4 linked regions of the Tamandua tetradactyla genome follow. The protein of the gene in region 2 interacts with the protein of the main gene of each other region in a pairwise test. Links are inferred from orthologs where the notes say so. Each region holds a gene or a part of one and is shown on either strand. Other genes may lie near its edges. The genes, in order: NOD2, VIM, KAT7 and PNMA5.

Region 1 (8,021 bases), on a different chromosome or scaffold from region 2:
CTTCTTTGCCAAAACACAGGGTCAAGCTTGTCCCCTGGCCCAGTTCTGAGCTCTGATACTTCCTTCCTTCCAGAGACCACAGCAGGGCCAGGCTTTCTCTGGGGCCCACGCTCTGCTTACATACTGACACCCCAGTCTCCTGGTCTTGCAGCAGGAGAGGAAGGGAGGACCAGGGAAGCTGCCCTTGCTCTTAGCTCCTGGGAAGCTGGTGCCAATCTTCTCGCCCCACTCCCAGCCATCCCCCATTCTGGTCCCCCCCTTCCCAGGCTGTCATTCCACATTAGCACACAGACACACTGTCATTTCTCCCCTCTCAAAATGTAAAGCCTCTCCCGTTCCCCTTTCTGCTACAACCCTATTTCTCTGTTCTTCTAACAGCAGGCCTCCTGTCCTCTGCCTCTACCACTGCATCCCAGTCCTCATCTCCCCTCCCCTCCATCAGGTTTTCGCCCCACCACTCCATCGAGACTGCTTTTGTCAAAGTCATCAGCCACGCCACCTTGCTCGATTCACAGCCCTCATCTTGCTCATTCTGCTGAAGGCATTTGTCATAATTACTGTCCTCTCCTCCTTGAAGAACGTTCCTCCTTAGAGCCCAGGACACTGCCCTCTGCTCTTTCTCAGTCCTAGTGCTAGTCCAGGGGTCCCTGAATAGACCCCTCTTCTCCCATCCCTCGCTCTCTAAGTGGGCTCCCCTGCTCTTATGGCTTACCTACTAACACTGTGTGTTGGCACCCCAAATTTCATTTCTTGCTCCCCCCACATGCCTCAACTTTTCCCAGCTGCTTACTGGACCTCTTTACATGGATGTCCAATAGGCAACCCAAACTTAGCAAGTACCAGACCAAACTCCTTTCTTCTCCCTAAACAGCTCCTGGCACAGGCATCCCTATCTCAGCTGACCATACCTCCAAATGTCCAGGCGCTCAGGCCAAAAGCCTGACTCCCACCCCTCCTTGTGCATCCCAAATCCTATCGAACCTACCTTCTAAGTACATCCCAAATCAGAAAATCTGATCATTGCTCGCCACCTCTTTCCAGGCCCCATGGTTTCTCCCCTGAATAATGGCAGTAGACCTCTTTGGTCCACTACTTCTGCCCTCACCCCTCTACAGTCTATCCTCCATCCCCCAGCCAGATGAGCTTGTGAAACCCCAGATCGGAGCAAGTGTCTCCTCCAGTGACACCCATTGCAATCAAGTGAAAACAAAAATCTTCCCCGTGACCTTTAGGGCCATACACTATGGACACACACACACACACACACACACACACACACACACACACACACACCAACCCTTACTTTTCTGAACTCGTTTCCTACTAACCCCCCACCTGTTCCTCATCCACCCAGCTCTGGACACACCGGCTTCTGCCTCAGGACCTTTGCACATGCTCCTCCCTCTATTGGCACACTCTCCCTCCCCCAGACATTGACATGGCTCACCCCTCACCTCCATCAAGGCTTTGCTCAGTTGTCACCATCTCAGAGGGACAGTCCCTGACTAGGCTACATAAAACTGCAATACCCCACCCCATCATCCTTCCCTGCTTTCTTCTCCATGGCATACTTCTCACCACCTGACATACTATGCATTCACCTATTTGATTGCTTTTGACTGCTTTCGAGAATGTGAACCCTATGAAGGCAGACAGTTTCGTCTATTTTCTTCATTACTCTATCCCCATGTCTCATACAATGCATCAATCAGGATTTTTCAAATAAAGGAATAAATTTCCTCTGTATGGCTCCAGCAGGCAGAAGTGGAGCCAAGAAGGGGGATCTGCAAGCCCTGGGCTTTAGCTGAGTGTAGTGAGAACTGCAGGACTCATAAGCAATGAGGTCCCTGTCACCAGGCAGACGCAACAGAGGTTGGGCCAGCACTCTGCAGGCATTCAGCCCTGGGTGGGAGGGAGGTGGGCTAGAGGAGATTCCTTCCACCTTCAAATTCCAACATGTAGAGAGGAAAAGGGGGCCTTGAGTAACCAGCAAACTCAGGGGCCGCTGGGGTCCCCAGCAGACCGATTCAGGCAGCGGAGCAGAGGCCATGGAAGGCCACTCTGGTCTTCACCAAGCGCCGGGGAGGGGCGGCAGGGCAGGCTTTTTCCCTTCTATGGAATAAGGACTCTTCAAGGAGCCAGCCCCTGGGGAAACTGAGGCAAAGGGCAGGAAGAAGCCAAAGGGCCCCAAACAGAGGAAAGAGGCCCAGGGCAGCCTCAGAGCCAGGGGTCTAGCTACCAGCCCTCAGCCAGCTGCAGAAGATGCCGCCCGAGGGGACCTGGGGAGTTTTCTGAGTTTGTTGGCAAGTAAGAAGGACAAGAGGGCTGCAGTGGGGAGAGCGAATGACTCAGAGGATGCGGTGCTGGGCAGCAGATGGAGTGGGGATAGGGGGTGAACTGGGAAAACTAAGAAGAAGGAGCCCCCATAATATTTATAGGGCCAGAGGTGGGGCTAGAGATTATCCAAGCAGACTCTCCCACATACACCCAACCATTCACAGGTATGGGAAGATGGGGAAACTAAGGCCCAGAGTGAAGAAGGGTAACTACAAAGGGTGATCCCACTGAGACGCTGGGTGTCTGGTCTCCTCACTCCCAGCCCAGAGCCTCAAGACTTCACAACTCAGAGGTTCTGTCCCCACTACTCTGGTGACCCCCAAGTCAAGCACCCTCTCCAGACATCAGGGAACCTGGGAGGTGGTGAGTCCCACCCATGCCCCCAAGTCTCCTCATCATCTGTATCCACAACCCACCAGGTGGCTTCCCAACCTTGAGACATTCTCTTTTCTCTGTCCCCCATGTATACCCCGGGAGTCCTCAAAGGCAAACCGAGGCGCACCCTCCCCAAATCCAGCGACTATAACGGCTCTGAAGCCAGGCGTCCGACTGCCAGGGGGCAGGACACTCGGCGCCCACTGTCTCCCCGCCGCCTGGGCGCTGGGCGCAGACTTCGCGCCCGGAGCAGACTTCGCGCCCGGAGCGAGCACTCACCGCGGAGCCGCCGGCGTCCCGAATCCTCAGCCCGGGCTCGGGAAGCGTCTCCCGCCTCTGGCTCCGGCTCCCGCCGCGCGGGTCTTCGGCTCCGCCCCGCCGTGTCCCCGCCCCGGGCCCGTCCCACTGCCGGGCACCCCGCCCGCCGCGCCGCTGCCAGGCGGGCCACACCCGCTCCCCGCCCCAGAGCGCCCGCGTCCCGGGGGGCCAGGAACTCACCTGAGACCTGAGAGTGGCTGGGAGGGAGTCCGGAGACAAGTCTCTCGGGACACACACACCCTCCAAAACACAGACACACGCACGTGCGGTGACATCCTTTGGTGTTATACTAACCTGTGCATCCTTGGGGGAACTAGTCAATCCAGTTTTTGAAAGTCTTAAAATTGCGAAGTTCCCAGAACAATGCTGTAGGTACGTGATGGTTTACACACCTTCCATTTTTCTCTCCACCTTGTAAGTTGGCGAGAGAGGTCTCAGTTTAGTTTAGTAGGGCTGAGCTCTTCTAGAACACAGCCTCGTCTCCTTGTCGCTGCAGCAATATGAAACCAGAAGCTAACAGCACTGTCTTGTTTTCAGTCTATTTATTTTTTGATTTCCTATTCTACAGAGCAAGTGACACTACTTTGTCAAGTAAGGAATATCAATGTTCCTTTTATACACTTCTATCTGGCTTTTTAAAAAATGTGAAGTCAATTTCAAGAAAAATAATGAAAATAACATGTATATAGCACTTCCTGTGTGCCAGGCTTTACATAGATTCACAGAGTGAACTATTAAAATCCCAGATTTTCAGATGAGGAAATTGAAACACAGAGTCATTCTCCTATCCCAGATTTCAAAGTTGTGACGGCAGAGCCACGTCCTGCCCCCAAGGTGTCTAGACCAAAGAGTGTATTCTAAAACACTGCCCTGCATTGCTTCCGGGTAAATACCTGCACAAGTGGGGCACGGTGGGCTGAGGCTGGGAAATGCTGAATCGAAAGACTCATTCTTTCCTTGATTTTCATCAAGGAAATCATTCCAGATGGGGGACAAATCTACCCACAAGGATGCCCTTAACAGTGAAAGGCTGGAAACCTCAATGTCCAATCCTATGAGATGGCTTAAAGGACACGACGGAGCCTCTGAACCTGGAGAACTCAATCGCCATGTGTTCTCTGCTACCCCACATCCTAGGAAAAAATTATTCAGCTTGACCTTCAAAATGGATCCAGAATGCAGCCGCTTCTTACCATGTCCACCATGACCACCTGGGTCTAAATTACCATCATCTCTCCTCCAGATTATAGCAAGCACTCCTAGCAGTTCTCTATGGTTTCAACCATAGTTTTTCTTCAACACAGCAGCCAGAGTCCATTAAAAAAAAAAAAGGCTAATTAGGTCCCTCCTCTGCTCAAACCCCTCCAATGGTTCCATTTCATTCATATTCATAGTCAAAGCCAAGTCCTACTGTCAGTATTTGTCACCCTGTGACCTCTCCAAATCCTCCTGTCCTCGCTCACTCTGCTCCAGCCACGTGGGCCTCCCGGACATTCCTGGGATGTGCCAACCCTGCGGCCACCTCCAGGCCTTTGCATTTGCTGTTTCCTCTGCCTGGAATGCTCTTCCTCTAAAATCCATGTGGCTGCCTCCTCCACCTCTTTCAGGTCTTTGCTTAAATATGACTTTCACAGGGACGCCTTCTCTGGCTCTCCCCTACAAAATTGCGACCTGCCCCCCACATCCCTTTCCCTGCATTTTGTAATTTTCTCCATAGCACTTATCTCCATATAACACACTATATGTCCTACTTATTTTCTTTGTCAATCTCTCCCCGCTGGGACTTGAAACAGGAACCTTTCTGCGTCATTCGTTTCCTTATTCCAGGGTCTAGAACAGGACCTGGTAAGCTATAAATATTTGAATGAATGTCCTAAAAACAATGCAGTAATTGTAATAACAAATGAACTACTGCAACCCACAAAAACACCAATGAATCTCATGGGCAAAATGTTGAGTAGAAGAAGTCATATGCAAAGGCATACTTACCATCTGTTATCAATTGTATAAAGTTCAGAAGCAGGCAAAACTAAGTGGTAGGGGCCAGGATAACAGTTACCATGGGGTGGAGGTAATGACTGAGAAGGGGCATGGGGAGCTTCCAGGATGCAAATAATGTTCTGTATTTTGGTCTGAGTGGCAGTTACACAGGTGTGAATACTTTCTGAAAATTCATGGCTAAACACTTACAGTGTTTGCACTTTTCTTTGTATTACTTATATTTCAATAAGCCTTTATTATTGTTATTTTTTTGGTATGTTGTATGGCAGGGTCACATTTCATTATTTTTCCATGTGAGTATCCTGTTACTACAGCACCATTTGTTGAATTTTTTTGTTTGTTTGTTGTTGGCTTGTTTTTGGTTGTTCGTTTGGGGAAAGTGCATGACCCGGGAATCAAACCCAGATCTCCTGCATGGCAGGTGAGAATTCTACCACTAAATTACCCTTGCACCCCCAATAAAGCTTTATTTTTAAAAGATGCTTATAGATATATGTTCATTAGCATGGAAAGATGCCATAATATAATATCAGTTTTCTAAATGGGTTGCTATTTGAAAAGGGTGCCAAGATATTCAATGGGGAAAGATTGTATCTTTTCAACAAATGATGCTAGATAGCCACATAAAAAAGAATGAAGTTGGGCCCCTACCTCACACCAAATACAAAAATTAACTGAAAACTGGTTGAGGACTTAAATAAAAGAGCTAAAACTGGAAAATTCATAGAAGAAAAAATAGGAGTAAAACTTCATGACCTTCGATGGGGCAATGGTTTCTCAGCTGTGACACCTAAAGCATACACAATCAAAGAAAAAATAATAAATTGGACTTCATCAGAATTAAAAACTTTATCTTTCAAAGACATTATCAAGAAAGTCAAAAGATACCCACAGAATGATAGAAAATATTTGCAAAGTCGTATAGTCAAGGATCTAGTGACTAGAATAAAGAACTCTTACAACTTAGCAATTTTGATAAGTAACCCAATTTTTTTTAATGGGCAAAGGATTTGAATAGGTGTTTATCAAATATATATATATATATATACAAATGAACATGAAAAGACGTTCAATGTCATTAGTCAATAGGGAAATGCAAATCAAAACCACGTGAGATACCATTCCATATCCAGTAGGATGGCTATACTAAAAAACAGAGAATAACAAATGTGGGGAAGAATGTGGAAAAATGGAAACCCTCATACACTGCTGCTGGGGATGTAAAATGGTGCGGCCACTTTGGAAAAACAGTTTGATAAATCCTCAAAAAGTTAAACATATACTTACCAATGACCAGGCAGCTCAATCCTAAGTATATACTCAAGAGAACTGAAAACATAGGTTCACATAAAAACTTGTACATGAATGTTCACAGTAGCATTATTTATGGTAGCCTAAAACTGGAAGCAAATGTCCATCAGCGGGTGAATGGATAAACAAGATGTTATATATCCGTGCAATGGAATATTAGTCAGCCTAAAAAGGAATGAAGTTTGGATATATGTGACAACAGGGATGAACCTTGAAGACATTACACTAAGTGAAAGAAACCAGACACAAAAGGCCACATGTTGTATGGTCCAGGTTCTAGTTTGCTAGCTGCCGGAATGCAAAATACCAGAAATGGAATGGCTTTTAAAAGGGGAATTTAATAAGTGGCTAGTGTAAAGTTCTAAGGGCAAGAAAATGTCCCAATTAAAACAAGTCTATAGAAATGTCCAATCAAAGGCATGCATCCAGGGATGAAGTTCAGGGTTTCTCTCCCAAGTGAGAAGGCACATGGCAAACACAGTCAGGGTTCTTTCTCTCTCAGCTGGAAGGGCACATGGCAAACACGGCATCATCTGCTAGCTTTCTCTCCTGGCTTCCAGTTTCATGAAGCTCCCCAGGAAGTGTTTTCCTTTTTCATCTCCAAAGGTCGCTGGCTCATGGATTCTCTGCTTCGTGGTGCTGCAGCATTCTCTGCTCTCTCCAAATCTCTTTCATTCTCCAAAATGTTTCCTCTTTTATAGGACTCCAGAAACTAATGAAGACCCACCCAAATGGGTGGAGACATGTCGTCACCTAATCCAGTTTAACAACCACTCTTGATTAAATCACATCTCCAGGGAGATGCTCTGATTACAGTTTCAAACATACAGTACTGAATAGGGATTATTCTGCCTTTAGGAAATGGGATTTAGATTACAACATGGCTTTTCGAGGGGGCATACATCCTCTCAAACCTGCACAGTCCATAACTATGAAATGTCCAGAATAAACAAGTCCACAGAGACAGAAAATAGATTAGTGGTTGCTAAAGCTGGAGGGAGAGGAGATGGGGAGTGATTGCTAATGGATGCAGGGTTTCTTTTTGGGGTGATGAAATGTTCTGGAGTCAGATAATAGTGATGGTTACACAGCCTTGTGAATATACTAAAAGCCACTGAATTATACACTTTAGAAGGATGAATTTTACAGCATATGAATTATATGTCAATACAAAAAAAGTGAGTTGCAAAAATGTTTCATGCAGCATGCTCTTATTTCTGTAATAAAATCTATGAATACATGCATTTAAAAAGTCAAAAGACTATCCTTCAAAATTTATGGTTGGATTGTAAGTAGATTGTTTAAATTCTCTTTTGTTAGCTTATATTTCCTAATAAGCCCATATTGCTTGTATAATAATTTTTTAAAGCTTTCTTTTCAGTGGGTTAAGAAGCCTTTATTACCACCTCCCTGCCTGCAGGGTCCCATGCCAAAGGCAGGCAGTAGGGATGCTCTGGTGGTGTTTCTGTACTTGAGTGCCCTGACCTGGTCACCTACCAGGTAGTGCTCAGAAAGCAAGGGGACAGTCTCCAGGAGCCCCAGGCCTGAGCCCTTCCTCACTGGGAGTCACCTTCTGGGTTGTGACATTTAAAATTCTACTGGATGGGGAGGCTGGTGGAAGAATAGGTATGCCGGCTGCCTGTGTGCAAGGGCTGCCCCCAGGAGCTTGGACTGTCTCC
Region 2 (8,023 bases):
GAGTCCACGGGGAGGAGAGCCCACGGGGAGGAGAGCCATGGGGAGGAGAGTCCACGGGGAGGAGAGTCCACAGGGAGGAGAGCCACGGGGAGGAGAGCCATGGGGAGGAGAGTCCATGGGGAGAAGTGCCTGTAGGACTTGATCTGGGCATGGTGGGGTGGAGGCATGAAGCGGTGGGTTGGGGGGTGAGCGGCAGAGCCCCATGGGGGCTGCACGATGGAGAACCCAGAAGCAGCGATGGCATTTCCAGCGAGGTTGGCTGGCTGCCCTGCCCTGGTAGCGGGGAAGCAGGCATGGTGGTGGGGTTCAGGCGGGCAATGGGCTCGGTTCTCTTTTGGCTATTGTTCTAGTTTGCTAGCTGCCGGAATGCAACACACCAGAGACAGACTGGCTTTTAATAAAAGGGATTTATTTTGTTAGTTCTTCAGAGGAAAGGCAGCTAACTTTCAACTGCTGTTCTTTCTTACGTGGGAAGGCACAGGGCGATCTCTGCTGGCCTTCTCTCCCGGCCTCTGGGTTCCAACAACTTTCCCGGGGTGATTCCTTTCTGCATCTCCAAAGGCCTGAGCTGAGCTCTGAGTGCTGAGATGAGGTATGCTGAGCTGCTTGGGTTGTGCTGCGTTGCGTCTCCCATTTAAGCACCAGCCAATTAAGTCAAACATCATTCATTGCAGCAGGCACGCCTCCTAGCCGACTGCAGATATAATCAGGAACAGGTGAGGTTCACATACAACTGGCTCATGTCCACAGCAACAGAACTAGGTGCCTTCATCTGGCCAAGTTGACACCTGACTCTAACTATCACAGTTATGATGCCCTGGAAGGAGGGGAAGGAACATAGGGGAAAACGTGCAACTCCCAGGTGAGAGAAGGATTCTGAGCTCCTGTTCCTCACCGAATGAAGGGGAGCCCTAGAGTCAGGGGCTCGCCAAGCTCTTCCAGGAACCTGCATCTCCACAGGTGCTAAAGGCCCTTTCCTCTGCAGCTCCTGGAGCCTGATTAATATCTGTGAGCTACACTGGCTGACAGCGGACAAGGTTCAGTCACGGACCAGGAGAATAGGCACGCACATTCGGGGACACAAAGGCCCCCCTTCGCCACCCCTACCCCAGCGACCCCACCTGAAAGACGGTGTCAGCTCCACCTCACAGGTGCTGCAAGGGCCCCCTCTTACCTTCAACATAAGCAAAGCCCCCCGACACCCAGGTTATTGTACTGCCGCCCCCAACACCCAGGTTATTGTACCACCCCCCCCAACACCCAGGTTATTGTACCGCCCCCTCCCCCCGGCGCCCTGCCTCCTCAGCTGTGCAAGCCTGCCTGCCCCCTTCCCCTCCTGCCTGCCCCCTTCCCCTCTTGCCCGTCCTGACACCCCACCCCCACTGCTGTCCTGGGTCCTACCAGCTTCTCCAAGCCCGGGGCGCAGCTCCCATCTGCCACCGGCTGGTAAGTCGGTGCAAATAACTGAACTCGGCAGACAGGGCCACAGCCTGCAAATCCCAAATCCTGCGCGGCACCTGGGGTCAGCAGGGTGGCCTGGCCTGCACCCCTGGGGCCTGGCTAGGGCACTGCCCACACTGCAGATGCAGATGGCAAAGAGCTCAGCGTTTACAGAGCACCTGAGGTGGGTTTTCACAGAGTCAAAAAATAAACACAACTGAGAACACTGTGTCTGCGCTGCCAGCTTCCAAGAGGCCCTGAAGACGCAGGGAGGAGGCAGCGAGGGCGCCAGCTCCGGCCACCGCCCCTCCCTGACGCCTGTCTCCCAGCCTCAGTAACACCCAGCTGGCACTGGGCTCACCTCAGAGGGAACGCCATTCTTTCCAAAGTCTCAGGCATTGCACACATCTGCACACATATGTGAATACACACAAATGTGCACGTACATATATACATATATACATACATATAAACAAACACACTTATTTATATGCACATATTTGGATACACAGAGGCAACATGCCTACATACATATGGACACATTCACACATATACACACATACAAATACACAAAACATGCATGTATGCATATACATAATTATACATACATGTATACATATACATGTAAACACATACATTATAAGTGTACATATGCATAAACACAGATATACACACATTTACACAAACGGACACATATATGCATACACACAAACAGCATATACATTATACACATGTATATATGTATACATACACATATTGTCATGCACACTTACATACACATGCACGCATACACATATGTATCTATACACCTAGACGTACAAACACCCATGTACATACAAACAATACAAAAATGCATAATATACACACAAACATATACATTTAAGCATGCATACATATATTTATACACACACGAACACACAACACATTATACAAACATGCACACATATACATACATACATATACACAGAAACACATGAATATACATAGATACACATGCTATGCACAAATACACACATGCACACCTAAAATCACACATATACACACATGCATATATAAACACACTGTACACACACGTCATATACACTCATATAGAGACAGTTACACAGGTGTGTTTATATACATGTATGCATGCACATGCATATACAATATATGCACATATAGACACACCCCCCCACACACACACAGGTGTGTATACATGAGGCGAGTGAGCTCGTCAGTCCTGGCAAGAGTAGACTACCCCAGGCCTGAGGATACAGCAAGAGGGCACGTTTGCAGGAGAAGGGAGACATCCTGACGCCGAGGGGGGCAGAGTCCCACCGGGAGGAAGACACGCTGCCCCACCCCCGCAGGCCCAGACCCCCCTTCCGAGTGAGGCCCTGGACTGCTCTCTGTAGAGCCCACAAGCCGAGGCATCGCTCAGGCCGAGGCTTCCAGGGACTCACAATGGGGACCTTTGCTGAGCTGGGCCTGAACAGAGGCTCTTAGAGAGCAAGGCGAGGGCGGAGCCCAGGAATGTCCCCCACGGATCCCAGCCCCTGCAGCAGCGGCCTTGCCCACTGCCCCCGGGATGGGGAGTCCGGCCAGGGCAGGGAAACACTTCCAAAAGGAGGCTGTCCCTAGGCCAAATAAACCCTGCATTCGGCCCTAAGCCGCCTCCCTAAATGCCAGGTGCCGGCCAGGACCCAAGAGCGAGGGCTGGATGCTGCCCCTGCCCAGGCGGGTCTGAAGTCAGCCCTCTGGACTCCCCCAGAAAGCACGTCTCCAGGGCCCCATCACGGGAAGGCCGCTCCCTGCTGGGTCCCTTCCTGTGTGGCCTGGTCTCGCTGTAGCTGACAGGGAGACAGCAGCCCCTGGAGGTGAGTGGAGCACCCAGAAAGGGGGCAGTGGTGGCCCTGTGTACGCCTGCCGCCCCCACTCCTCTCGGCCAGGCCCCGCGGAGCTGGGGCACGTCCAGCAAAGTCCCAGGAGCCAGCGTGCGCGCTCGGTCCTGACATGAACACACCAGCCTGCTCCCCAGCCTTCCGTCAGCGGCCTTTGGCCAGGCTCATTCATCAGACTGGGGATTCCAAGCGACACCCAGTAATTCCCGCTTTGGCTCGGATTGTGCCTTTAAGGCCTTCGGTGGAGGCAGCAGCGCCAGGGGCCCTCTGCGAGATTGTGAAACCGCGGGCGGGGTTTCCTCTTTTACCCAGAACTTTCAGATCTTTCTAAAAGCCGGGCGTGGCGCCCTGGGGGAGTGGGGACGGCGCGGGCGGCCGGAGGGGGCTGGGCCTGCACGGGGCGGACCGAGTCGCGCGCGCCGAAGGGCCTTTCCGGTGAGAAGCGCGCGCGGCCGGGTCCGCTCAGGCCCTGGCGAGTTCTTAAGAACTTCGGGGCGCCCCTGTGCCCCGCAACAGCGCGGCGGCGGCCTTCTAAGTTGGCGAAGACCTAGGACAAAGCGCGAGTCCGCCTCGTCTAACGGTCTCCCGCGAACCGCTAGGCGCCCTCCCCCCGGGGACCGCAGGCGCCCTGAGTCACCCACCGCCGTGACTCAGCCACCGCGCCCCGTCCCCCGGCTTTCCTTGGCCGCCGGACCCAGCCCTCGGGTCCCGGACGGGACCCCCGAGACAGGAGGTCGAACGGGGCAGGCCCGCGCGCTCCCAGCCCAGTGGGTCAGGCGCGGGGGCGGGGGAGGGGAGCGAGACCAAGGTCCCGGTCCCGCCGCGCGCCCACCCTGCGCTCCAATCTCGGCGTTCTTTGTGTCACCCTTGCACCTCCCTCAGGCGGGGCCCTCACGCCCCACCCCGGTCACCGAGTTCCTAGCGCCCCCCGCGGCCCCTCCCGACCCTGGGCGCGGCTCCCGGCCCTTCTCCTCCAGCCACGGAGGGTTCCTCCCCCGCTCCTACCCCGCGCCCCCTCCCCATCCCTGGGCGCCGCACCCCAAATCCCTTTCCTCCAGCCCTGGGCGGATCCCCACCCTTCGCTCTCCACCAATCCAAGACTGTGGAGCGCGGTTCGAGGCCTCTCTTCTCTAGCGGAGGCGGGTCCCCGCTCCGCGCCCCCCACCCTCCTGAATGGGCGCGGCGCCGAGCCCCTCTCCTCCAGCTACGAGAAGACCCCTCCCCCGCGCCCCTCACCCCCGACCCTGGGCGCCGCGCCCCCAACCCCTCTCCTCCCGTCCCGGCGGCCCTTTCCCCGCGCCCCCCTGAGCACGGCGCGGGCCCCCTCTCCTCCAGCTCTCGGCGGGTACCTCCCGCTCAGCCCCGCTTGCTACCCGCACGCCCCTCCCCCGGCCCTGGGCGCCTCACGGGGCCCCTCTCCCCCACTCCGGGCGGGTCCCCCTCGCCCAGTGCCCCGCCTTTACCAGCCCCGGGGCTGAGCAGAGCCAGCCCAGGAAGCCCCGACAGTGCCTGCCCCGCCCCAGAAGTAACGGGACTGCCGGGCCGGACGGAAGGGGGGGACCCCGCGGGCGCCCCCCTCCTCTCCTTCGGAAGGTCCCATTGGCTGGCGCTTGCGCCGCGGCCGCCGAGAGGAGGGGGCCCTGCCTCCCTGCGCGGATAAAAGCCGCGCCCGGACTCCGGGCGTCCTCTGCCGTTCCCGCTCCGGTCCTGCGCTCGCGCCCCGCCGTCCGCCACCCGCCGCAGCCATGTCCACCCGCTCCGTGTCCTCCTCGTCCTACCGCAGGATGTTTGGCGGCCCCGGCACCGCGAGCCGCCCCAGCTCGAGCCGCAGCTACGTGACCACGTCCACGCGCACCTACAGCCTGGGCAGCGCCCTGCGCCCCAGCACCAGCCGCAGCCTCTACGGCGCGTCCCCCGGCGCCTACACAACGCGCACCTCCGCCGTGCGCGTGCGGAGCGCCGGGTCGGGCCCGCGGCTCCTGCACGACGCCGTGGACTTCTCGCTGGCCGACGCCATCAACACCGAGTTCAGGAACACGCGCACCAACGAGAAGGTGGAGCTGCAGGAGCTCAACGACCGCTTCGCCAACTACATCGACAAGGTGCGCTTCCTGGAGCAGCAGAACAAGATCCTGCTGGCCGAGCTCGAGCAGCTCAAAGGCCAGGGCAAGTCGCGCCTGGGCGACCTCTACGAGGAGGAGATGCGCGAGCTGCGCCGCCAGCTGGACCAGGTCACCAACGACAAGGCGCGCGTCGAGGTGGAGCGCGACAACCTGGCTGAGGACATCCAGCGACTGCGGGAGAAGTGAGGAGGGAGCCGCGGGGCCGGGGGGGGTGGGCGGGGCCGCCAGAGGGACCTGGTCGCGCGCTGGCCCCGGGGGCGGAGGGGCGGGCCCCGCCCTACCTCGGGACCTGGCGGGGAGCATTTCCCCTCGGCCCACGCAGTGCCCAAATGGCAGGTTTCTAAGCCTGCCGCCCGGGCTGCGCTGAGAGGCCCTGGGAAAGAGCAGAGGGATACGCCCGCGCTTGGGGGAAGGCTCCCGGCCCCGGGCGGACTGCCAGCTGCGCCCCGGCAGACCGAGGGGGCGGCAGCCGCGACGTGGGAGCTGGGTGTGGCCGTGCGGCCCCGCGCGCTCCGCGTCGCCTTGGGGTAACGGGCGCCTCTTTCAGGTTGCAGGACGAGATGATTCAGAGGGAGGAAGCCGAGAGCACCCTGCAGTCGTTCCGACAGGTGTGTGACCTACCCGCGCGCGCGCGTGCGTTGCCCCGGCCCCACCCAAGCGGCCCGCGGGCTGGCCTCGAGGTCGGCGAGCCTCGGTCCCAGGGGTGCGGAGCCTCCGGCCCAGCGCAGAGACCGCGTCTCGGGCCCAAACCCCGCGGCGACTTTCCTGGGGACGGTGGGAAAAAGGCTTTGGCTTTTTTAAACTTTGTTTCAAGGTTTTTTTTCCCAAAAAATAAGCCCGTTTCACTTTTGTAACACATTGGCATTCCGCCTTTGAACAGTTACAGTTTGACTTAGCTTGCGGTTTGCTACGGTGGAGTTGGCTAACTCATACAAGGTCACAAAAAGCAGTGAGGCTCAGAGTAGTTTAAATTGTAAAATGAGTTGCAGGATAAGAAACTTAGGCTAGTTGGAATCAAGCCAGCCAGTTTCTTTTCTTTTCTGCAAGTTCCACTGTGGCATTAAAGTTAGAAGTCCAGCCCTGCCCAGGACTTTGTGATCTAATAAGGGGGAAAGGGGCCATCTGGCCCCTTGCTGGAAGGGAATTAATGGTTTCTATGGGATTCACTATGGAATGCAGATACAGACGTTCTGGCAAATGTGGTGGCGCTGGGCAGACATAATGGCAGTCTTTGTGCTCCCCGCAGGGCTGTGCAGCAGGCGGCATTCTTATTCAGTCTGTCATGATGTAAGCAGAGCTCTCATTGGACACAAGTATTTGCTAACATCTTCACATCCGTTATCTAATATCTGGCCCAGGCTTGGGAAGTACGTGATGGGAACAGCTCTTAAAGCCACAGGGCACCTTGGACTGGCCTCTCAACTGCCCTCGTGGGTAAAGAAGATGCGAGGGCCAAAGAGCTGAACTTTAAGTAGAGGTTTTTGGGTTTTTTTCCTACAAATCTTAGCTCACTCAAAGGATTTTAAACTTACAATAGAAAGCAGGAAGGTTTCGCAGTGTAGATTTCTTCTCTCGCGCACTTACTGTACTGGCTGTAAAAGCACTTAGGTGTACAGTTGAGGATAACATCTTGAAGCTGAAAGACATTTGCCACATTAATTTAAATGCAGCAATGTGTGGTTCGCTTGAGTCACTAAGTATTTAAGATTATGTAATGTAGCGTGCAGGGCACTGAGTTAATAGAAAGCAGCTTTCATGTAAAAGGGCCTCTGTTTAGGGATGAGGCAAAGTTCCTTGCATTCTCTTCAAGGAAGCAGCTAACATGTTGAGCATTTTGAGAGGTTAGTAAAATGATTTTAAATCTTTTTAAGGGCTTAGTAGCAAGCAAAATGAATTTTTTTTCCAAATCTGATGTTTTTATTATTACCCATTCTTCACTTACTTTCCTGTGAGAGGGATGCAGATGAGATGGGGTCAGACTGCACGACAGATGTAAATTGCTCACAAGATAAGAGGTTTAGAAATCCTGGGACACTCACTTCAGAGGAAGTACAGTCTTAATTGAATGGGCTCTGATGTGGAATGTAGCAGCTTACAGAGGGTGGCAACACAGGAGGATAGTGAGGTGAGCAAGAGTCCTTGCAGGGCCTCGTGGTGGCGGGGATTGTAACGGGTCACTATGATAAAGGCAAGTGACAGAACTGACCGAGTCAGGGAGGGGGCCACACCCACCAGCCGGGTCACAAGGCTAGTCTCCCCAGGAAGGCACAGCACACATGGTCACCTTTGTTTCGGTATTTGCTGGAGCCGCATCTTTGCACACCCTAGATGTATCTAGTTGCTGCTTGATTGAAACCTGGCTGGTGATGTGGCTGCCAGGTGGTGATACCTACGGATAATTTCCGGACAATCTGAGAAGAGTAAAAGACAGCTTGGTATGCATCGACACTTTGGGAGCATGAGTTTCTGTTTTACATGCACTCATGTATAAATGAAGTTTTGCAACCCAGTTGGGCCTGTCCTGCCTGTATTCCCTTACGCTACGGGACACACATGCACACACTTTTAAAACACTGTGGC
Region 3 (7,162 bases), on a different chromosome or scaffold from region 2:
AGATTCTCCAAAGAAGAGAACCGGAACTCTCAAACTTTGAGATGAATAAAGCTAGCACTCAGAAAGTTTGTCAGTTTGTACACCTCCAAGGGGCTCCATTCTCAATGTAGTCTATGTTTTGCCTTAGAGAAGGCCACCTTACAAAAATTACACTGCAAATGCAACCCCTAGGAGTCAAGCAATTCCCTAGTAATGAAGTACAGTAACTAGAAAGAGACCCAGACCTCATACATTTTCTAGCTGTTTCAAGTATTTACAACTTTCAGATGTCCAGGGCATGACCACTGACATCTTCTAAGAATCCTATGCCTCTTCCTTTGCAAAATGCTGTTCCCTTTGCCTAGAACACCAAGCCCATCATTTCCTACTTGATCCTTTAAGATCTCATTCTGGGAGACCTGTTCTTAGTTGGCTGCCCTACCTTGAGGGCAAGAACATAATTTTTCCATCACTGCATCCTACTACATAGCATAGTATTTGAATTATACTAGGCATTTATCAATACTGCCATTGTAGAAAAAAACTTAAAAGTTGCAAAATCAAAGACAGCTATTCTTTAAACTCTTAAATTTAAAAATAAAAAATTAAAGACAGCTGTTGAGAAAATATTCCCTCTTTCTTGCTTGAAAAATTGAAGTTTTTCTCTGTTTTGCAACATGCATTTAGCAATGATCAAATCAGCACTCAAAGCATATTATAATTTTTCTTTTCTTAATCTTGTATCTCCTACCGATCATCAGCTTTGCACATTTCAACCTTCTTTCCTCCCCAGGGAATTCTAGAGTAGAAGCAGAAGTCAAGGGTGCCTTCCAAATCCAAGTACAGATGGCTAATGGCACTAAAGAACCTAAACTTCCTTCCAACTCTGAGAGTCTAGATTTTTTACTATTCCCCCCAAATTCTGGGTATTTACACAATGATGTTTGGGTACATTTGTATTTATTAAGTGTGTATCTGACTATATTTCACAACTAAATATGGTTTCAGAAGTACTAGGCTCCTTCAACTATAGATTAAAGATACTATGTTAAGTCCCTAAACCTAAACTGTTGTGATAGAAAATGAAGCGGTAATATTCCCATTTTACTGAAGGGAAAACTGTAGTCTAAAAAAATTAAATGACTTATGACATACATCATGGCACACTCTAACATGTCACGTTATGTCATAGTTCCTTTGGGTCTACAAATTGGATGGCACCCCCAACAGAACCATTTTTAAAGACCTGATACATATACAGTTATTCATTCTGCATTTCACCAGTTTCTGACATCTATACCAAGATAAGGGACCAGTTTCCAAATTAACTACCACAATAACAGACTGACCAATGGTCAGCTGTGAGTGGTCAGAGAGAACAAAGCCTTTTACCTTGAGAACTCTGGCTCAGCCTGGCTGAGGAGCGGGTGACTCTGGCAGATCGCCGAGAGGTGCCATCACTCTCTGAACTGTCTGTGTGCTCGAGATCTGTAGAAAAATCGGAATCTTCGGTTCCATCTGAACTACTGCCTGCATTCCTCTGTAACACCATAGATCCAGACATTAGCACAGAAGTATTTAAACTATAGGATCGTGTTAACAGTGGAAATAAAACAAACCATGATGCCGAAAACACCAAGCTCTACCTCAGAAAGGATTCCAGATACAATTCCTCCGCCAGCCTAGAGTCAACTAGCCTTTATTAAGAACATTTAAACAGGTAACCTACAAATAAGGTACTTTTGTTAAATAAACAAAAAATTAACTCTTACTGTATTATCACTAATTCTGAAACTAATCCATTTGGAGATAAGCATAACAAAAGTATCCAACTCAAAAATGGTCTGGCTGATGTATCAATGCACATGGAAAGTCCAAATCAGTAAGAAAAATGTTTGGCTAAGATCCATTCGACTTCAGGTTACCTTTGTTCTAAATCTCCACAAACAGCTATCATATGTTAAGAAACCATGTGCTAATTCAAAATATCATGGTCCTCAACTATGTTACCAAGAGAACTTCCAGAGAAAGAGAAAAAGAAAGAAACTCTTTCTTATGTCCTCTCCCCGTAAAGGTTTCTCTAAAAGGACTGGAAAAGGCAGCTTGCATGTGAAAAGTTGGGGATATTAAAAAACAGATTTTTAAAATAATGTTTTCCTAAAAATTATTCGTCAATCATTAGCTTCCTCAGGAGTGAATAGCCATAAAGATAATTTTTATCAACTGAGCACTAACACTATATCCTTTAATCAGAGAAAGGAGAATATTTACTAAAATACAGAGCTTTGAACTACAAATCCCTAATCCTTTATTCAAAATGCTTGGGTCCAGCTGAGTTTGCTATTCATTATTTCTTAGATTATTGGAAAGAGACTACTTCACATACAAATAAAGCCTATAATCAAGCATATTAATATTTCTGCAGCAAAATGTGAAAACAGTAACACTAAATGCGATATATAAAAAACATAAATAGCTGCTGGACAGTTTAAGACAGATTTTGACACCAAATAAATTGCTATAAAACTTAAATTTTCCAAAGATATTTGTATTTGGGAATTGCAGAAGGGGGATGGTGGACCTATTCCAATGCACCAACACTATTCCTGCATTTGGTGAGCCTTAAGATAAATACCACCTACCAACTCTAGGTCATCTTAGGAGACCTTAAATATAATACATATTTTTAATTTGAAAGTCTGTGCAGAAATGGAGGCCACAGAACAGAGTCACAGAATGGATGGAGGGAGAGTCCTAAAGATCATCTAGTTCAATTATCCAGATATTTCAACCCCTGATCACCTCTGAACATTCCTTCCCAGCTTTACCCAGGCTTTCACCAATATACTCCCCATTTACTCCAGAGCAGATTTAACTGCTTCCCACTGCCCTTGTATTACATATTTCTCCACTTAGAGAATGCATAGACTGTCTTACCGTTCTGTATGTTTTCCTCATGAGACTGCGAGTCCCTTAAACTAGGGATTGTCTAAGTAGTTTTCCAATCCCCAGCAAGCCAGCCAATAACAAGCAGTCAAACCTTTCTTCAACCAAATTAGATTTGTTGTTTAGTCCTGGCTCTGCCATTGCACTCACTTAAGAGTGGTTTTGGGCACACTACTACTAGGCCTCCGTTTGCTCAGTTGTAAAAAGAGAGACGGGGTGGTTCCTAGGTAATCCTTTAACTCTCTTCTAATTCTAGAAAGTTTCTGCTTTTACAAACTGCATTTTCTAGGCGCTGCTGAGCTAAAGACATAAAGAAAAATTAAGACTTAGACTCAATAGGCCTGAATGGATCCCTTGAGAGCGGACACTGGTTCCACAGCACCGAGTCCTCTGCTTTGTTGTCACCGCCCCCGCTCGCCCCCCCCACCCCGGAAAGAAAGGAAGCCTTAAAAACCCCGCCTCTACACCTATCAGCATCCCCACCCAGAAGGGAGGGGTCCCGTGCCGCCCAATAGAGGTCCTGCTAAACTGCGCCCCCACGGGACAGACTGCCAAGTACAGCCAATCAAGAGAAGAGGGATAGTTCTCTACAGCCAGTTAGAGCGCGGTAAGGCCGGGCCCAGACACCGCCCCCGCACGCGGGGAGGTGACCGTTGGATCCAAATGGGCGGTATCACCAGCCAATCAATATACGTCTCGATGTTTCAACAACCAATTAGCGATCAGAACGCCTCCGATCCAGCCAAGCAGAGGGCGGGAATAGTAGCAAGCATAGGCCCAGGCCAGGGTCGGGCCCACATTCTTCTATCGAGTACAGACGGAAGAGAGGGTTGCTGAGCTAAGTTGGGGGAGCAGGAAGTTGGTCCCCAACCACTGTGAAGCGTGGCTAGCTGCATCACGTTGCTCAATCGACTGTCCTCAGAAACCCGCCATCCCTCCCCTCTCGTTTTTCTCACCTTTCTTCGCGGCATCGCCGGCGGCTGCGGCCCGACGGTTCCGATCCGGGCAGCGGCGGCAGCAGCAGTAGGAACGGTGGCTCCGGCGGGCTCCGTGGCGGCCTCTGTAGCAGTCCCAATCCTGCGGACGATCCCAAGTGCCTCCTGCCTCACAGCGTCGAGAGTCTTCTGCGCAGGCGCCGCGGGCTGAGGCGCTTTTTCCTTCACTTCCGGCTGTGGTCGCGTCACTTTGCGCTCAGGCCAGAGATGGTGCTGGGAAGCGGGCGTGGCGTTCGCCCTCTTTGGTGAGGCTAGTGAGCGCCATTTTGGAATTGGGCAGGAAAAGACACTGGTAGCAGAAACCAGGGCTATTTAGGTGAATGGCGGCCTTTGTGGGCGTGGTTAGCTATTCTTGTTTGCGGCAAAAACTTGATAGTTGAAGTTAAAGGTTTTCATCTTTATCTTGGGCAAAGTTTCCCTTCCAGGTCGTTTTAAATTACTGGCGACGAAGAAGGAAACCCCCAAAATCCATGAAGTTGTTGAAGTTTAACTCCTTCGTTGCCTAATTGGCTAAAGATATTTCCGTTTAGCATGTAAACTCAAAATTGAGAAGGGGTATTTTGCACAGGAAACTTTTAAGAACCAGCCTGTGGCTCGATAGGGGAGGGAATGGCGGCTTATAAAATGAACGAAAGGGTAGCTTCTATCATCAGAAAGTTTTCTTTTTGGTAGAGGAGATACTCCCCTTGCCCTTGGCGAACAGTACGTAAATTGGTCGTTCGGGTGGTGGGAGGAGGCAATTATTCTCCAGAAGCAGTAGCTCCTAAGAATTTCCATTTTAGCCCTGTGGTGAACTTCTCCCTCCTTCCCCCATTTTGTATGGATTTCAGAGTACTGAGTGGCCAGGGATGAAAAATGTAGCGAAAACGTGGGGGTGCCATGCTAGAGTCGGAGAACCATTGAACCTATTTATCCCGAGTGAATTCTGAAAATCCAGATAGCGTGAGCCGGGAGTTGGGGTCAGGGGAGAAGAGGAAGGGATGTTTTTGAGCTAGAGTTTAAAAAGGTATAGATATTTAAATAACGATGGTGATGATGATGATTAGGGCCTCCTTTGAGAGCCTAGGAAGAAGTTGGTCAAAGATGTAACCTCGCTGGAAAAAAAGCCTTGAGAAGACCAAGACTTTGTTAACAGCAGCTGGGTGGAATCCAGACAGGCTTAAGTTAGGATCCTGGACCCGGGTTCCAACCTGAGCCTACTAAAATGAAGATTTCCCCCAAGGAGCAGAGTTCAAGAACAAAGCAGCAGAAGGCAAACATCTGATTGGTGGCTGAACAGAGGATTCTGAAGAGTTAAGATGCCCGACCCTATGCCAGCACTCTCTGTGGAGATATCCTGGACCAGTGTTGACAAAGGCAACTTTCAGTATTTAGTAATTTGATATTTAGCTTTTAATAATTAGTAGAAGTACTTTTGAATAGCCTACTTAGGTTGAACTGCATAGAAGAACTTATTTGAAAACGGCTCATATTTCTTCTTGCTTTGTATCCTCTCAGCAATCAAGCCTTGGCTATCACACTGTTACGCTGTTATTTTGCACTTAATGTTCTGTGCTGAGTTCACTTTTGAGGCTTCTGGCTCCCCACCTAGTAGTAATGACCTCTTGTGTTAAAAGCATATCTCAATTCTTTTGTGACATCCCCTCTAATAATGCCTAGACCGTGTTCTACCCACACTAAATACAAGCTAATCAAAGTATCATCTCTATTCTCCAGTCTCTGAATGTGCAGGATTTAAGTCACCCTCCCTGGAAACTGGTATTGGAGAAAAAGATCTTATCCTGACTTAAACCATTCCTAATACAAATACCAATATGACAACTGTTAAATGTTAGTAAAGCTCTTAAACTGCATTCTCTGCATGCGGCCAACACTTAAGAGTTCACAGTTTAAACATGGTTCTTGTACTTGGAAAGTGTACATTCTGGCAGAAAGATGAAAAACTTAACACCAATAGGATAGAAATAACATTCCTAAGGGGGAAAGAATGTGTACTTAACATGAGATTATACCAACTAGGTGTATTTAAAGAGAAGGAGCGGGAATCTTACATTTTTCTTTCTTTTTGTTTTAGACCAAGTATTTTTACTTTGAGTAAAGTAAGGACATAATAAGCTCTTACTTGGTTTCAAGGCCTTAGACCATTTGCTCCCTGCCCATCTTCAGCCACCAGACTTTACATAGATACTCTCCACTGTCCTTCCTGCCTTTACCCTTTCACACAGGCTTTTCTTCCTACCTACATGCATCTCCCAACACACCTTAAAATTTACTTTCTTCAAAAAGTTTTCCTATCGCTTCTCGGCCTTTTGGCTAAGATCAAGTGTAGTATCTGTTCTTATCAGTTTTATATCTGATATGTCCTCTATCCGAGGACAATATATTAAATGGATTTTTGGAATTAGGAGATGGAATAGGAGCTTGCTCCGTCCACTCCATGCATCGACCTGGTATTGCAGTATTTCCAGGAACAGTGCACGCCCCTCGGGGGGACAATAAATGTATAAAAAGTTTTTCCTGATTTATTCTTTTTAAGGTAGTAAGTCATGGTGCTATGCAATTTTGCAGTTACTGCAATATTTATACTTTTCCTTATACAATTTGGTAGATGGTTTATTCCTCACTGCCTTTCTCAAACAGATAAGAACAGTAACTCTTACTTATTCATCAGATCTACTAGTGTCCAGTATAGGACTTTCATGTCACATCTGGATTTAAATCTCAGGTCTGTTCCTTTCTCTCTGGATGCTCTTTGCACAAGATTTTTAATTGATCCATATCTCAGTTTTCACATCTGTGAACAGGAATATTAATTCCCACCTCACGGGGCTGTTATTAGGCTTAAAAGAGATGATTGTTGCAAAGCACTTAGCACAGCACTGTTCAATGAATAACTGTTGTTATTGATATGTATAATTCATGGCTATAATGTCTTAATGTTTGTAAATATATCTTTTCATGGTCCCAGTGGTTCTTTGCTTTTGTCTGTTCAACCTCAGTTCAATTCAACAGACCCGGAGTGATAACCCAGGCATTATACCATCTTTCCCCTAAAAGGACTTAGAATCCTTCTGGGACAGACAGATCAATAAGCTCATAGTTCCAAAACACTACAGCATATTATCTGGGAAAAGAGAAGGATGAGCAAAGTTCAAAAGTGCCACGGAAGAGGAAATGGATGGGTTTATCTGGAAGGTGTAGGAAAAGATTCACAGAAGAGATAAAACAGGAATGAAAATTCC
Region 4 (7,426 bases), on a different chromosome or scaffold from region 2:
GGAGTCCAAGTCCAAGCCCTCCCTGTCTGCTCCGGCACCTGTCACCTCTCTGAGTCCCACCCCTCCTCCCCCAATCCCCCCGCCCCCCCCCTCCATTCTAGGCATCCTCCTGCCTCAGGGCATTGCATTGTTCTCCCCTCTGCCTGAAGATGCCCACCGGGCTGGCTCCCTGAGGCCCCCTGGACCACTCTGTGCAGAATTGCACCCACTCCTCAGCTCTCCTTAGACCCCTTTTAGCTTCCTCTGTTCACATGGCCATCTTGTTCATGGTTTGTCTTTCCCTACTCAAATGCAACCTCTGCATGGGATTTTTTTTTTTTATTAATTAAAAAAAGAATTAACAAAACAATTAGAAATCATTCCAATCTACATGTACAATCAGTAATTCTTCTGCATGGGATTTTTGTTATTTGGCTCACGCCTCTTTCCCACGTCAGTACCTGGCATTATGCCCGGCATCAAGCAGGCACTTGATAAATGCTGCTGACAAAAATAAGTGAGATCATTTATGACCATGACGGGCTGGAGCTGTGCCGTTTTGCCCTGGCTGCCATGTGCCCCACGAGGCAGTTGAAACGTAAGCATAAATGAGTTAGAATCCAATTTAACAATTCAGTGCCTCATTGCACTCCCCACGTTTCAAGCGCTTGGTGGCCACGTGAGGCTGGCAGCTACCCTATGGGACAGTTCATCTGCATCCTTGCAGAAAGCTCTGTCAGGCAGCACAGAGCGAGAGAGCAGCTGCATTGGTGACTTTAGATGAGAGGGGGAGGAATCTCAGGTGAGGAAATTTGTCCTGAAGGCAGAATGATGAGAAGCAGCCACTGGTACAGGGACCTGGAGGGAAGAGGTTTCCAGGCAGAGGGACCAGTCGGTGCCATGCCTAGTGGGGCTGAGTCCTGGGGGCCACCAAGCAGAGGAGCAGCTGGAAACCCCAAAGAGAGGAAGGACCAGTGAAGGAGGAGGGGAGCCGCAAGAATCTGGCATCCCAGGAGCCGTGGGAAGAATGCGCATGAGGAAGGAAGGAAGGAAAGGCCCTTGGCTGGTAGAGTTCACTGGTCTTCCCCCACCGAAGGGCAGCGGGTGTGATGGAGCAGCCTTTGAAGACTCAGTTGGGATGCTAAAGGGATGGCCAGCCTTTGGGGCAGGGTGGAGTACTGCCCACTGGTTTTGGCAGATGCCAGAATGGCTGGGTCCAGAAACTGAGGGGCAGAAGTGGGAGTGGCTCCGTTCAGTATTGTGTTCCTGGTCCACTAACAAAATATTTGTTTCCCATCCCTGCAATTTGGGGCTCTGCTGGTCCGGCAGACTTAGTTTCCAAGGGAGGAATGCTTCCACCAGGGGACCCTGCGCCGGTCCCACTGAATGGGAAGTTAAGGCAGCCACAGCCAGCTGGGTGAGGACAGGGGTCCTTGGAAGGTTCGCAGAAGGAGGAAATTCTAAAGATTGGCTACACCTCAGGGCCAGCTGCAGAAATAAGAGCTAGAGAAGCTCTGTGCATTTTGTCACGCTTTTGAGTATCTTAACTCCTTTGTTCCTTCTTACTTTCCTTTTCTAATCCCGTGGTTAATTTATCTTGGTGGTAATTGACCTCACAATTGGGCCAGAGAATGAGAATTTGCCTAATGGGACCTCGGACTCCCCCTTTTCTGGAGAGAGGGTGAGGGTGTGTTCACCTACCTGAGGGCTGGTCACGCCCCGCCGAGCGGAGGCATAATGTCACCGTGGTCATCACCTGGGAGATGAATGTGGGTGGGAGAATGTGACGGATGCTGAGCGGGAAGGGAGGGCTGGCTGGCTTGGCTTTCTCAGCTCTGCTCGTCCCTGCCCTTTTGTGTAAAGCAGAGGCCTGGGAACCTCAGGTCCCAGGTTCCTTCACCACACTGGCTCTGCGTTCCCTTCCCCAGGGAGAGGCATTCATGCCACATTGGGACAGCAGCGAAGCCCTCATTTTCTGGTAGCACGCTAGTATGGGGCATCCAAAGAAATCACACGCAGACTTTTCCAGCAGCTTCCCGGCAACCTCCTGGCAATCAGCCCTGACAGTCCTGCAGGTAGCTGGGACCATTGCATCTTGGGGCCTGGGAACCACTTATTTACTTTCGGATTTCCCCAAAGCCTGCAACAGCCTCCCTGCCCCTCAGTCCCCCCGGCCTGGTAGGGATTGTGGAAGTCACTGATTATCTGAGCCCTTCCTGCTCGAAAGTGGCCCTACCTCCCTGGCACCTGCCTCTAAGTCTGTCAGTGCTGCTTCACCCAGCTCGTCCATGCTGTCCAGCACACATCTGCTAGGGAAGGAGTCCCCTGCTGAGTGCTCTGTCTGTGAACACCTCCTGCCTGCACCCTGCACACCTCCTGGCTTTGGACTCCCTCTGCGAAGGCCTTCTGTGGACCCCTTCTTCATGCCACACTTTTCCCAGGGCGGCTGGTGCTATTTCCACCCCTGGGGAGACCTTCAGCTCCCACATGTGCCTGGGAATGCATACATCTCTGCTCTAAAGCTTCCTCCGGCTACTGGAGCTCACTCCCTGTGAGAGCCTGGACACCAGGCCTTTCCTGAGAATACTCTTTGTACATTTATGTTTTAATAGCTTTACTGGGGTTATAATTGGCACACAATAAACCACGTCTCAAGTGCACGCTTGGATGAGTTTTGGCATCCGTGAAACCATCACTGCAATTAAGAGTGAGCACATCTGTCACCCCCCAAACTTTCTGGGTACCCCTTTGTGATACCCCTGCCTTCCCGTCCCTGTCCCTATCTCTGCATTCTCCGATCTGGTTTCTTGTCACTGCAGATCAGTTTGCATTTTCAAGAGTTCTACACAAGTGGAATCACACGGTATGCATCCATTTGGGGTAATGGAGACATTTCTTGGTCTTGACTGGGGTGGTGCCCAGACTCTAAACTTAAAATGGATGTGTTTTACTGCCTATTAATTATCCTTGATAAATTGCTTTTTAAAAGGAAGGAAGAGTTATGAAGTTAACACCCCAGCCATTGTGAGGGGAAGTACAGGTCTGGCAGGCAGAACTAGCAGTGTCCACGAGGCCAGTGGGAGTCAGGACACTGGACAGTGATCTGAGAATCCGCCCACCGCCCCGGGTAAAACAACCCCCCCCCCCGAATAAAACATCCCAACGGGAGTGTAACACCCCAGCAGCACCAGTTAGCCTTGTTTGCTCCTCCAGCCAAGGAGACTGATTGAACAAATCTGCCTATTCTTAGGAGGTAAGGCACACTGAGGGAGTCTTCTGCAGTTAAAGGGGAATATGCTGTGCACTGCAAACATCTCACTCAGTGACTTTTTATTGAAATTTGCTTTGTTTTTAGGATTTTTTTTTTTATAGAACAATCATGAAACCGTCTGGGGGTGTTTTTTTTTCTTTTGTGTGTGTGTACCTTTAGCAAATAAGGGTAAAGAAATCTACTATGTCACCAAAGGGTCACATCATCTGGCCCTGAAAAGTAAAAACAGGCTTTTAGAGCCTCACGACCCAAGGCATGGTCAGGCACCTGCAGCATCGGAGTCAAGGAACTTTCCAGAACACCCCTCCCCCACCACGCCTCTGCCTCAGAGCAAACCTCTTCAGTCTGGAGAAAACGTTCCTTTAAGAAAGGGCGAGAATTCATTTGGGTCTAGCTGGGTAATACTTGGTCCTGAAAGCGAGAGAAAAACGAGGATTAGGAGTCTTTTGATAGTTTTCTATTTCGGGGTGGGGCGGATCCCCGTTTCTCGCCATGCCTCACCTCCCCCCCAAAGCACGCCCACCCCACCCCGCCTAAAGGCAAAAAAGGCGCCAAGCCTTGCTTTCCCTCTGCGCCCGGCCGCAATATGGAAATGAGGAGGGCGTGGGTGGCTGTCGCGCCACAGTGTCCGGCCAATGGGGAGCGGCACCTGCCCTCGGGTCCCGCAATGGCTGCTGGGGCTCGCGGGACACGTGGCTTGGCGGGCTCCTAGGGGCCGACCGCATGGGGTGGGGTAGGGGGGTGGGGTGGGGTGGGGTAGGGGGGTGGGGTGGGGCGGGGTGGGGGTAGGGGGGTGGGGTAGCGGGGTGGGGGTAGGGGGGTGGGGTAGCGGGGTGGGGGTAGGGGGGTGGGGTAGCGGGGTGGGGGTAGGGGGGTGGGGGTGGGGTGGGGTAGGGGGGTGGGGTGGGGTGGGGGTGGGGTGGGGTAGGGGGGTGGGGGTGGGGTGGGGATGGACTGGCGGGGGACAGGCCGGCCGGCACTGTGAGCTGCTGGCGGGGGGGGGTGGGGGGTGGGGGCACCACGTGGCCCAGGCTGGCTTCTGGGTGGGCTGCCGTGCGGGGTGGGGGGGTAGAGGGGTGACAGGGCGGGACTTCGGTTCCCCCACCCCCACCTCGAGGCGTGCAGGCTTCAGGGCGCAGCCGCGAGCGGGCCGTGTGCAGCTCCGCGGGGGGCCATCACGCGGCTCCCCTTAACACTCCACCCACTGGCGGCCCACACTGCACTGCGGCGGCGGACGAGAGGTGGCGGCGGCCCGCGGGGGCTCCGCTCCTCAGGCGTCTCCGACGGGTAAGGTGCGGGTCCCCCGGTGTCCTGGCGGCCCTGTGGTCGCAAGGGAAACCCTATTCCCCGTCCCATATTCGCCTTCCGTCCCCACCGGGCATCCCCGGGGCGGGTGACCGCAGGGTCCCCAGGCAGCGGGTTCCCGCTAAGATGGGCCCGCACCCTGACAGCGCGCAGCATGCGCGGGCCTCGGCCGCCCTGGGTGTTCCTGGACCTCGGGCCACCCCGAACCTGCCCCGAGCCCCCTCGCGGGCAGGCCAGGGCGCCCGGGTCTCTCTCCGCCCGGTGTCCGCCAACCTGCACGTGGGGAGACGGTCCTCGGGGGACGGGGTTGCTGGGCCCCAGGGTGGGCGTGAAGGGGGTGGGGGTGGGGGAGCGAGTGTGGGAGAGAACCTGGGGTGGGAGGTGGTGGACGCTGTGGCAGGGGCCTGAGTGAGGGGCTGCACGCATGGGGGGAGGTCGCGGGGGTGCAGGGGTGGGCTCCTGGGCGCGAGAGCGTGAGAGTGGGGCTACATGGCAAGGGCGAGACCGTGAAGAGGGAGGGTGCGCGTGGAGTCGACATCGTGGAGGCGGTGGGGTGGGCCCCGCGCGACAGAGGGCGAGAAGGATGGGGGCAAGACCGTGAGGCGGCGACTCAGTGCGTGGGGTAGGCGGGGGCGAGAGGGGGCGGGGGCGAGAGGGGGGCGGTGCGCTGGCAGCGGGGCGTGCGGAGGCGGGAGGGGGCGTGCGGATGTGGGGGCAGGACGCGGCGGAGGCGGGCCGACAGTGAGCTGGGCGGGGTTACGTCGAGGGGAGATCGCAAAGGTTACAGGGTGCGGGGGCGAGAGCGCGAGGTGTGGGGGCGAGTACACGGGCGTAAGACCGTGAGGTGGGAGGGTGCGCGGGTGGGGGCAGATGGCGGCGGTTGGGGGATGGCACGAGGGTGAGAGTGTAATGGGGGAGGGTGCGCGGGTGGGGGCAGATGGCGGCGGTTGGTGGATGGCACGAGGGTGAGAGTGTAATGGGGGAGGGTGCGCGGGTGGCGGCAGGTGGCGGTGTTTGGGAGATGGGCGCGGGGGTGAGAGCGTGAGCTGGGTGGGGCACGTGGAGGCGGGATCGCGGAAGTGAGGATGCGGGCGCCTGGGTGAGTGAGGTGAGGGGCTGAGTGGTCAGCGACAAGAGTGTGAGGTGGGAGGGTGTGCGGGTGGGGGCATCATGGAGGTGGAGGATGGGTGCCCGGGTGAGAGCGTGAGCTGGGTGAAGTACATTGAGGAAAGATTGCGGGGGTGAGAGTGCAAGGTATGGGGGCGAGTATATGTGTGTAAGAACGTGAGGTGAGAGGGTTTGCGGGTGGCGGCAGATGGCGGCTGGCGGTTGGGGGAATGGGCGCGGGGGCGAGCGTGGTGGGGGAGGGTGCGCGGGTGGCGGCACATGGCGGCGATTGGGGGATGGGTGCGTGGGTGGCGGCAGATGGCGGCGGTTGGGGGGTGGGTGCGGGGGCGAGAGTATGAGCTGTGCAGGGCACGTCTAGGCAGAATCGCGGAGGTAAGGGTGTGGGCGCGGGGGTGAGAGTGCAAGGTGAGGGGCCGAGTGCACAGGGGAAGCCCATGAGGTGGGAGGGTGCACATGTGGGTGCATCAAGGAAGCGGACGGTGGGTGCAAGGGTGAGAGCTTGCGCTGGGTGAGGTACATGATGAAAGATTGTGGAGGTGAGGGAGTGTGCACGTGGGTGAGAGTGCAAGGTGTGGGGGCGAGTACACGGGCGTAAGACCGTGATGGGGGAGGCTGCGCGGGTGGCGGCACATGGCGGTGGTTGGGGGATGGGTGTGGGGGTGAGCGCGCGATGGGGGAGGGTGCACGGGTGGCGGCAGATGGCGGCGGTTGGGGGATGGGCGTGGGGGCGAGAGTATAAGCTGTGCAGGGCACATCGATGAAAGATTGCGGAGGTGAGGGAGTGTGCACATGGGTGAGAGTGCAAAGTGTAGGGGCGAGTACATGGGTGTAAGACCGTGATGGGGGAGGCTGCGCGGGTGGCGGCAGATAGCGGCGGTTGGGGGGGTGGGAGCGTGAGCTGGGCGGGGGGCATCGAGGAGGATCGCGGGGGTGAAAGTGTAAGGGGTGGGGGTTAGTGCATGGGGCAAGACGGAGACGCGGCAGATCGGGCGGTTGGGGGATGGGCACGGAGATGAGAGAATGCGCTGGGCGGGAGCATCAAAGCAGGATCGCGGAGGTGAGGGAGTGGGTGCAGGGGGTGAGAACGGAGGTGAGGGGGCGAGTGCACAGGGTTAAGACCCTGAGGTGGGAGGGTGTGGAGGTAGGGAGATGGGTATAGGGGAGACAGAGTGAGGTGGGACTGGGCAGTTCCTGGGGAGATCAGGAAGGTTAAAGGGTGAATGTGGGGGTGAGAGCAGGAGGTCATGGGGCGAACCAGGAGGCATGGGGAACGCGCGTGGGGGTAGATTGTGCAGGTGGGGGATGGGCGCAGGGGCGACAGCGTCAGCTGGGGTGGGGGTGGGGGTGGGGTGTCAAGTTGAGATCCCCGAGGTTTGAGAGTAGGTGTGGGGATGAGAGGGTGAACGCACCAGGGCAAGATCATTAGGTGGGAGGGTTCGGAGTGTAGGCAGATAGCTAGGGGAGGGAGTAGGCAGAGGGGTGAGACTGTGAGGTGGGAAGGGGGCACTTGGGGGTGAGATGGGGGAGGTGAGCAGGTGGGCGAGCAGGAGCATGAGGGGCATTTGCGCATGGAATCAGAGTGTTGGGAGTATGAGCAATTGTGGTCCGAGGTGTATGAGGGGTGGGTGCCGGGGTGAGGGTAGAGGGCATGGTGGATGTGGCCATAGCCTCACTTAGGAGCCTGTTGGTGCCAGCAGCAGCGCCCAATTGAGGAGTTTCTTGTACCCTGGGTCTTGTATCCAG

Evidence for each region.
Region 1: the proteins of VIM (region 2) and NOD2 interact in binary tests that used the Homo sapiens proteins (3 or more experiments, as listed by UniProt). The link is inferred for Tamandua tetradactyla from reciprocal best matches to the Homo sapiens genes VIM and NOD2.
Region 3: the proteins of VIM (region 2) and KAT7 interact in binary tests that used the Homo sapiens proteins (3 or more experiments, as listed by UniProt). The link is inferred for Tamandua tetradactyla from reciprocal best matches to the Homo sapiens genes VIM and KAT7.
Region 4: the proteins of VIM (region 2) and PNMA5 interact in binary tests that used the Homo sapiens proteins (3 or more experiments, as listed by UniProt). The link is inferred for Tamandua tetradactyla from reciprocal best matches to the Homo sapiens genes VIM and PNMA5.

The regions. Positions count from the first base shown.
Region 1 is NC_135342.1:44,463,858-44,471,878, reverse strand, and holds the start of NOD2 (nucleotide-binding oligomerization domain-containing protein 2), read right to left. Parts: upstream 3,060-8,021; 5' UTR 2,992-3,059; intron 1-2,991. UniProt on the Homo sapiens protein: Pattern recognition receptor (PRR) that detects bacterial peptidoglycan fragments and other danger signals and plays an important role in gastrointestinal immunity.
Region 2 is NC_135327.1:231,910,400-231,918,422, forward strand, and holds the start of VIM (vimentin), read left to right. Parts: upstream 1-4,987; 5' UTR 4,988-5,065; coding exon 5,066-5,625; intron 5,626-5,990; coding exon 5,991-6,051; intron 6,052-8,023. UniProt on the Homo sapiens protein: Vimentins are class-III intermediate filaments found in various non-epithelial cells, especially mesenchymal cells. Vimentin is attached to the nucleus, endoplasmic reticulum, and mitochondria, either laterally or terminally.
Region 3 is NC_135332.1:30,970,694-30,977,855, reverse strand, and holds the start of KAT7 (histone acetyltransferase KAT7), read right to left. Parts: upstream 3,051-7,162; 5' UTR 2,938-3,050; coding exon 2,917-2,937; intron 1,520-2,916; coding exon 1,372-1,519; intron 1-1,371. UniProt on the Homo sapiens protein: Catalytic subunit of histone acetyltransferase HBO1 complexes, which specifically mediate acetylation of histone H3 at 'Lys-14' (H3K14ac), thereby regulating various processes, such as gene transcription, protein ubiquitination, immune regulation, stem cell pluripotent and self-renewal maintenance and embryonic development.
Region 4 is NC_135353.1:4,736,500-4,743,925, forward strand, and holds the start of PNMA5 (paraneoplastic antigen-like protein 5), read left to right. Parts: upstream 1-4,424; 5' UTR 4,425-4,537; intron 4,538-5,341; exon of another isoform or gene 5,342-5,364; intron 5,365-5,424; exon of another isoform or gene 5,425-5,453; intron 5,454-7,426.